Linked DNA regions of Styela clava. The protein of the gene in region 2 purifies or fractionates together with the protein of the main gene of each other region. This does not show direct contact. Links are inferred from orthologs where the notes say so. Each region holds a gene or a part of one and is shown on either strand. Other genes may lie near its edges.

The links. The genes of interacting proteins can lie anywhere in the genome.
Region 1: the proteins of dihydrolipoyl dehydrogenase, mitochondrial-like (region 2) and dihydrolipoyllysine-residue acetyltransferase component of pyruvate dehydrogenase complex-like purify together in Homo sapiens (affinity purification with mass spectrometry; 4 studies listed by BioGRID and IntAct, counting the BioPlex papers as one, with this or other methods). This does not show direct contact. The link is inferred for Styela clava from reciprocal best matches to the Homo sapiens genes DLD and DLAT.

What each region holds. Positions count from the first base shown.
Region 1 is NC_135253.1:17,064,022-17,067,780, reverse strand, and holds the start of dihydrolipoyllysine-residue acetyltransferase component of pyruvate dehydrogenase complex-like, read left to right. Parts: upstream 1-1,516; 5' UTR 1,517-1,608; coding exon 1,609-2,119; intron 2,120-2,671; coding exon 2,672-2,822; intron 2,823-3,112; coding exon 3,113-3,210; intron 3,211-3,652; coding exon 3,653-3,759.
Region 2 is NC_135252.1:10,600,152-10,603,910, forward strand, and holds dihydrolipoyl dehydrogenase, mitochondrial-like, read left to right. Parts: upstream 1-1,127; 5' UTR 1,128-1,131; coding exon 1,132-2,646; 3' UTR 2,647-3,350; downstream 3,351-3,759. Other genes in the region: uncharacterized protein LOC120343183, read left to right, coding at 3,442-3,576. UniProt on the Homo sapiens protein: Lipoamide dehydrogenase is a component of the glycine cleavage system as well as an E3 component of three alpha-ketoacid dehydrogenase complexes (pyruvate-, alpha-ketoglutarate-, and branched-chain amino acid-dehydrogenase complex).

The DNA of each region.
Region 1 (3,759 bases), on a different chromosome or scaffold from region 2:
AATTAATTAACCATTCAATCACGAATGATACCGGTACCTATTCCAAGAAAAAAACTCAAATGTCCACTGCATTATCTTTTGCTCGTACCGGTACCAGCGGTAGGATTAATCATAAGTGGCCTTTCATGGACGAGGAGATTGTAGCACGTAGTGTTTACAGTTCTTAATTTATAGGCGCCTATTATTAATGATATACGCAGTGGCGATTCAAATATCAGAATTAGGAACTGGCGTTTCTCGGGACTGTGTTGAAACAGTTCAAAGTTTACATTGGTCACATTTGTTTTTTTTTTGATTCCATTGCGCCATGTCGCGGAATATTACTGCGTGCTTCGTATTTGCTTTCCCATAGTAAGGTCACTCTCTTCTCTGACTAAAACGCAACACAAAACAACGAAGCAGAAGTTAGTTTCACAAAAGGGTAAGCTCGTTCTGTCGTTCGATTCATTGATTTAAAATACCCGGTACTCCAGTACTCTCTGGTCTCGAATTTATATGTTGAGATTAAATAAGATTTCGAATATGTCTGTATGTGTAGAGTCCAATGTTGAATGTAATCAATTTACATTTTTCAAATTAGTATTTGTTGCTTCTCCAGTGCAGTACCGGTACCGTAGTGATTGTATGGTAGTAGACTATCTGATATTACCGTATACATACATAAGAGGTGAAAAGACAAAAAGCAGTAACCGGAGCTCTGTGTGTTGACATTAACTTGATTTCAATGTGATTTGAAATTTGAAAACCTACCGGTAGTCTAGCGCAACGTTAGCTTACTTCTGTACTTACTGAAGGTGAATGCGTTATTTTGTTTGTTTCATTGTTTGCCGCTAAAATTGTTAGCGAACGTATCACATGTAAAATCAATTCTAATTGGTCCTGTTCGGTCATTCACGTTAATGTAAATTTGAACAACGTCTTTTTGAAGGTGTTATCTACAGAAAAGCATGGTTGGGCGAATAAGTAAATTCTTAATGCTTGAAAACGGCAGACTATGTCATTATTCTTTATTCCTCTTGCTGTACACAAAAAATCTAAATTCGGATCATTTGTATCGTTAGCGTCTATTCCTTTCTATTTTTCGAACTGAACCCAATATTTAGACAGAAAATATGTGCATGAACTCTCGATGACAATATGGTCAACAAAGACAGTTAGGGTAGCTTTAAATGTAGGCCTATGTAGTAAAATCGAAAACTGTACAGTTACAGGATCACAGCTAAGGGGTCGTATTTTTGGAGGCGTCCCGCTTTGAAGTCAAAAAAATATGGTAACCCTACCACTGACTGATGTGTCAAGTAAATTAGATATCAATATCAGCGCACCTCATTCAGTCATTGAATTCTAAAATTGAAATTCGTAGACAAATGCAGTCATCTTAACTGGATATTGGCAGTATTGGAGATTTTACACCAAGCTCAGAAGCTATGATTCAGGTTGTACTATCCACATGCATGACTAGGCTATATTATTCATTTTTAATTTAGTTCAGTTCAGTAGTTGTAATCTGACCAGGTGTTAAAATTTTCATGATCCACAAATATCTTTTATACAGTTATGTTTTAAATTTACTACATAGACTTGGAGTTCACTTAAGGAACATTCAACATGCTACGCAGTGCAAGTACCACAAGATGTGTGAAGGCTTCACTGCGTTTCATCGTCAATAAACCATCCAATCACATAATAACCAGTCGTCTACTGAGCACAAGAAGTTTGCACATTGCTAATAAATCTATCCAAGATGCCAACAGATTTCATACACAAAACCATGTCATGTGGAGAACTTCAAACATGCACTATTCTCCATTCACTTGTCATGTTCGATTTTATTCACTCCCATCATACACAAAAATTGATCTCCCTGCACTTTCTCCGACGATGGAAATGGGTACCATTGCAAGTTGGGTACTAAAGGAAGGTGATCATTTTGAACCTGGAGATCTTCTTGCTGAAATAGAGACTGATAAAGCAACAGTTGGATTTGAAGCGCAAGATGAAGGATATATTGCCAAGATATTGGTGCCTGAGGGAACAAAGGAAGTACCTCTCGGAACTCTCATCGCAATATCAGTTGATAATGAAGAGGATATAGCTGCGTTCAAAGATTTTACTCCAGGTATCTATGTGATAATATTTCATATTTTTATTGATGGAGATGCATGATGAATATTGGTGGATTGGATTTCTCAGAATCCACTTGAGTTTATCCAGTTCCCCTTTTTAAATGACTTTAAAATCAAAGTATGGCACAGTTCTCCGTTTTCAAGAATGCCCGGAAAGAAGGACATCTGACCTTACTATAGATGTGTAATATTGAGCTATTTTGCCTCAATAATATTATGATTCAATTGTGTGGGACGGCCAGTGAGCGAAACTCATTTCTGTCGTTGGTTTTTGCTAAAATTTCTGCATTAAAATGTTTTTTCCTGTAGCGAATTTTCATGGAATTCAAACGCGACAGTATAAAATTGCACTTGGTTTTAGTTTATTGAGCAGCTCTTGACTTTTCATTTTTGTGCTGTTATGGAGGACAGTGGTAGCAAGGAATCTTCTGGTATTTGTGAATGTAGTATACTGGATATTATGAATTCGAAATGAACTGACTTCAATTTCATTGATAACATGTGACTTTTGAATGACTATTTAATGATATTATATTTTTTTATAGATCAAGCTTCAGGTAGTGCCGCACCACCAGCCGCTAGTCCAACAGCTCCAGTTACGTCCCAATCACCACAGTCAACAACCTCTTATCCTCGACATGAACGAATTTCACTTCCAGCATTGTCACCAACTATGACCACTGGAACTATTGCCAAGTAGATTATTTTCATTTTGAATTATTAGGCTTTCTTGTTTAGGATATTTCTTAGGTTGTATTCTCATAAAAATTGAGCCAGAATGCTAAATGATAAGTTAATACTAATTTGATACAATCAACATGTAGACTGGTTGTTGTAAATAATGTTTGATTTAATGAATTTGACAGCCAGGTAGTAAAATTCTATTCCTGGATGAAGCACTTCAAGTCACAATGTCACGAGAACAACTATGCAGTAAAATTTGGGAAATTAGAAAATCGAATACAATTTTTCTCATTTGCATGCAGGTGGGCAGTGCAAGAAGGAGATAAAGTAGAGGAAGGTGATTTGTTGGCTGATATTGAAACTGATAAAGCAACAATGGCAATGGAAGCAGAAAATGAAGGTGACACTTGAAAAAATTTTGTCACAATGTTGAGCAAGGCTCATAAATCTTTTAACATAGCTTAACGGATAATTCACCATTTAGATAATAATGTTTTAGAATATGGGATGTAGAATATATGTAAAATTGGGCCATGTTCCTTATTAAGGAGCTTGTTAATCATTATATACACGAAGAGATCGAAGTCTATTTTTGTCTGATTGTAAGATGTCAAAATCTCCAAATAATGATTTTTTAAACAAAAATATCTCCTAATCCTCATTTTTCAAACAAAAACGTCCTAAATTATCCTGGATTAGTGAAATTGAATACATTCCTGTTCATCTCTTAATTTACAATTACTCTATAAAAAGCTGATTTGTTTTCTGTTTTTCTTAATTTCTACAAATGTAATCAATTTGTATTGAATAAGTAAGCTATATGTTATTTTTATATCATACAGGATTTATTGCCAAAATAATTGTGTCAGAAGGAACAAAAGATATTCCATTGGGAACATTGTTATGTATTCAAGTCGAAAATGAATCAGATGTTGCTGCTTTTGCTAGC
Region 2 (3,759 bases):
TCAGGAATCTTTATGGTTATAATTTGTGGTATCCCCTTGAGAATGAATTTCTGACTTTATGAGAAGCTATGATATATGTTGGTGTTGTCTTCATTTTCCTATGTACATTATTTCATTCACTTTATTATTATGTTGAGATGCTTTATATTTGGCTTCCCAAAAACTTTAAAATTTCATTTTAAACAACTATTCTTAAGCGAAAGTAGTATTTAGAAAATTTGTGTATATTTATTAAATTCTGTCATATTATTGACCTGCTGAAAAACTTTTCTGAAATTGAGATATTTCTAATTATGTTGTGTGGTTCGTGATTCAATATAGATTGAATAGATATAGATACATTGTTTTGAGATCTTATTTGTTCACTGAAACGAAAGCAGAAATACATACTTATGTGTCGAATACTTGTTTGTTTACCCAGTTGTTCTTTTTTTATTATAACATTCTTCTTTTTGATTGTTTTCTTCTTGTTTTCTCTGGTTTATAAATGCAGCTACTTCGGCATTTTTTCCACATAAATATGCTCATACGAGTTTGAGTTCTCTGTAATTCATTTTCTTGTTGAATGTGCTGAATTTTGCCATTGTTCATCAAATCATGATATCGGCAAATTTTTGTGAGAAATTTATTATAAATCCTGATCTTTCTGAAAATGCAAAATTTCAACTGCATAACTTAGATTTGGATTTTCCAAAATATAAAAACATCTTTTCAATTGTCGATTGTTTTTTCAAATTTTGTAAACTTGTAATATTGGTCACTTTATTTTCATTTATAAATAGCCTGTTGTGGCAGAAAATTTTTCCACTTTTTGTATCTTATGCCCTATTTGTCAATTCATTGTGTAAAATGTGAAACTTGGAAAACTTTCCTATTGCTCTGAAGATATTTTTGAAGGCTGTATTGTACAAAATTGAATTAGTATTTACATTCAGTGGTGGCAAATTTGTGCCAGCGGCTGCTTTGATTTGATAGGTCCTGTGTTTTAACTTCACAAACTTCTTTCTGATATAAATGGCTAATTATAAATGACACAGATTTAATTATTTCTGCATTTGAATTGTCCTTTTTTGCAGATTTTTATGCTGTACTTATTTAGTAATCTAATTTATTGTTTATATTTAAGCCAAAATGTTCAATTTAAAACTGAATTCTGCATTAGCTCGTAGACTTTCGAAAGGTTCCTCACTTGGTTTCAATTGCTTGAATGCCAGGACAAATGCAACGGCCACTCATGATGCCGATTTGACAGTGATAGGATCTGGACCAGGCGGTTATGTCGCTGCTATCAAAGCTGCCCAGCTAGGAATGAAAACTGTTTGCGTAGAAAAGAGTCCAACCCTAGGTGGGACATGTTTGAATGTTGGGTGTATACCATCGAAAGCTCTTCTAAATAATTCTCATTTGTACCATCTTGCACATGGAAAAGATTTTGAATCCAGGGGGATTGAAGTTTCCAATGTTTCTGTTAATCTGGAAAAAATGATGGGACAAAAATCATCTGCTGTAAAGGGTCTCACCGATGGTGTTGCTGGATTATTCAAGTTCAATAAAGTTACGCATGTTCGTGGTCATGGTATGATTAAAAGTCCAACACAGGTGATAGCTACAAATGAAGAAGGAAATAGTGAAGTTATCAATACAAAAAATATATTAATTGCTACTGGCTCTGAAGTTACACCATTCCCCGGTATTGAAGTTGATGAAGAAAGGATTATTTCATCAACCGGTGCTCTAAGCTTGAAAGCGATTCCAAAAAGATTGATTCTTATTGGTGCTGGAGTAATCGGTGTTGAGCTAGGATCTGTCTGGTCAAGATTAGGTTCTGAAGTAACTGCGATAGAATTTCTTGGACATGTTGGGGGAATGGGTATCGACATGGATGTTTCGAAAACGTTTCAACGTACTTTAAAGAAACAAGGAATGAATTTTAAACTCAATACGAAAGTGATATCTGCTGATAAAACAGACTCTTGTATCAAAGTTAATGTTGAGGCTGCAGCCGGAGGTAAACCAGAAACATTAGAATGTGATGTTCTGCTTGTTTGTATCGGTCGTAGACCATATACACAGGGACTGGGATTAGAAAATGTTGGAATAACAGCAAACAAACAAGGAATCATCTCTGTTGATGAAAGGTTCCAAACAAGCTGTCCAGGTATATATGCCATCGGTGATTGCATTCCAGGTCCTATGCTTGCCCATAAGGCTGAGGATGAAGGTATTATATGTGTAGAAGGTTTAACTGGTGCACCAGTCCATATTGACTACAATTGTGTGCCTTCTGTTATTTATACTCACCCAGAAGTTGGATGGGTTGGCAAAACTGAAGAAGATTTAAAGGAGGCAAATATTCCTTACAAAGTTGGTAAATTTCCTTTCGCAGCTAATAGCCGAGCAAAGACAAATGCTGACACTGATGGATTTGTAAAAATTCTCAGTCACAAAGAGACCGACAGAATATTGGGAGCTCATATCATTGGTGGAGGTGCTGGCGAAATGATCAATGAAGCCGTTCTTGCGATGGAATATGGAGCTTCATCTGAAGATGTTGCAAGAGTTTGTCATGCTCATCCAACACTGTCGGAAGCTTTTAGAGAAGCGAACTTGGCTGCATATTTTGGCAAACCAATCAATTCATTTTAATGTCTATCTATTTGGAAATATTTTTGGCTTTATATAAATATTTAAATAATGCAATGAGTTCACTCTTACAAACAGGTTGAATATTTAATGATAAATACACAATGTAGGGTATGGGATAGGCAACAATATGGCTATGTAATAAATTGATTCAATTTATTCTTTGAGTCATTTATACTTTGTTTTCACCAGATATGGAATTATTAAGATGACTAATATGAAAACTTTGGTCTTTGTTTATGACAGCATTTCATTATTGCAACTGTGTATTATTCTCTAATGGGTATTGCCACGATGATATGAAATGATCCTCAAGTAATGAACGAACATTACAAAAAAAGGAGTTAGACTGCTGTTCTTCTCGCACACTTGTTTAAATTTCTCATTTGCAATTCTTTGTGCCCTGGACTTGTGCGAAAATATTTCTTTTGTTTTCATTCCACAATGTTATCAATCTTGCATATTGGTTAAATTTTTTCCGGGAATGGTTTTCATGCCCATTCTTGGCAAGATGCGAGATGCTGAATTAGTTTAAATCAAGAATTTCATATCTCTGTATCTGGCCAGGTAATAAAATAAATGCATATTGATGGTCTGTTATAAAGAGTTTCCATTTCCTCCAGTTTTTTGTCATCTTCAGTCTTTTCATTGCGATTCGAGAGTTATTTTTTCTTTATGTTAAAAATGCATATTATTCATAAATTTAGTGTTTTAGCTGTTTTAATTCAATAATTGTGAAGTCACCATGAATGCAAGTGCAACCATACACAATAATGGGAAAAGCAGTCGTGGGATCAGATGAAATATTTTGAAAAAATGTGTGAATATCCTAGTTTTGTATTTCCAACTCACACTCGTGGTTACAGTAAACACAATCAACAAGCATTTACAGATTATGGATGCTGGGAATCTGTGGACATTGATGTTGATGAGGTGGGTTGCGAAATGTTCAGTTTAAAAAACTACTTTTTTGTTTCATTAATTTTAGTTTTTTTACTTTTAGTGCCAGTTCTGTGAAGTAGATGTTATTTTAATTTTATAGCATTGAAGACTATGTTGACAGTTGCTGTTCCATTGATAATAATACATAGCTAATTGGCATGCCACGTAATTACT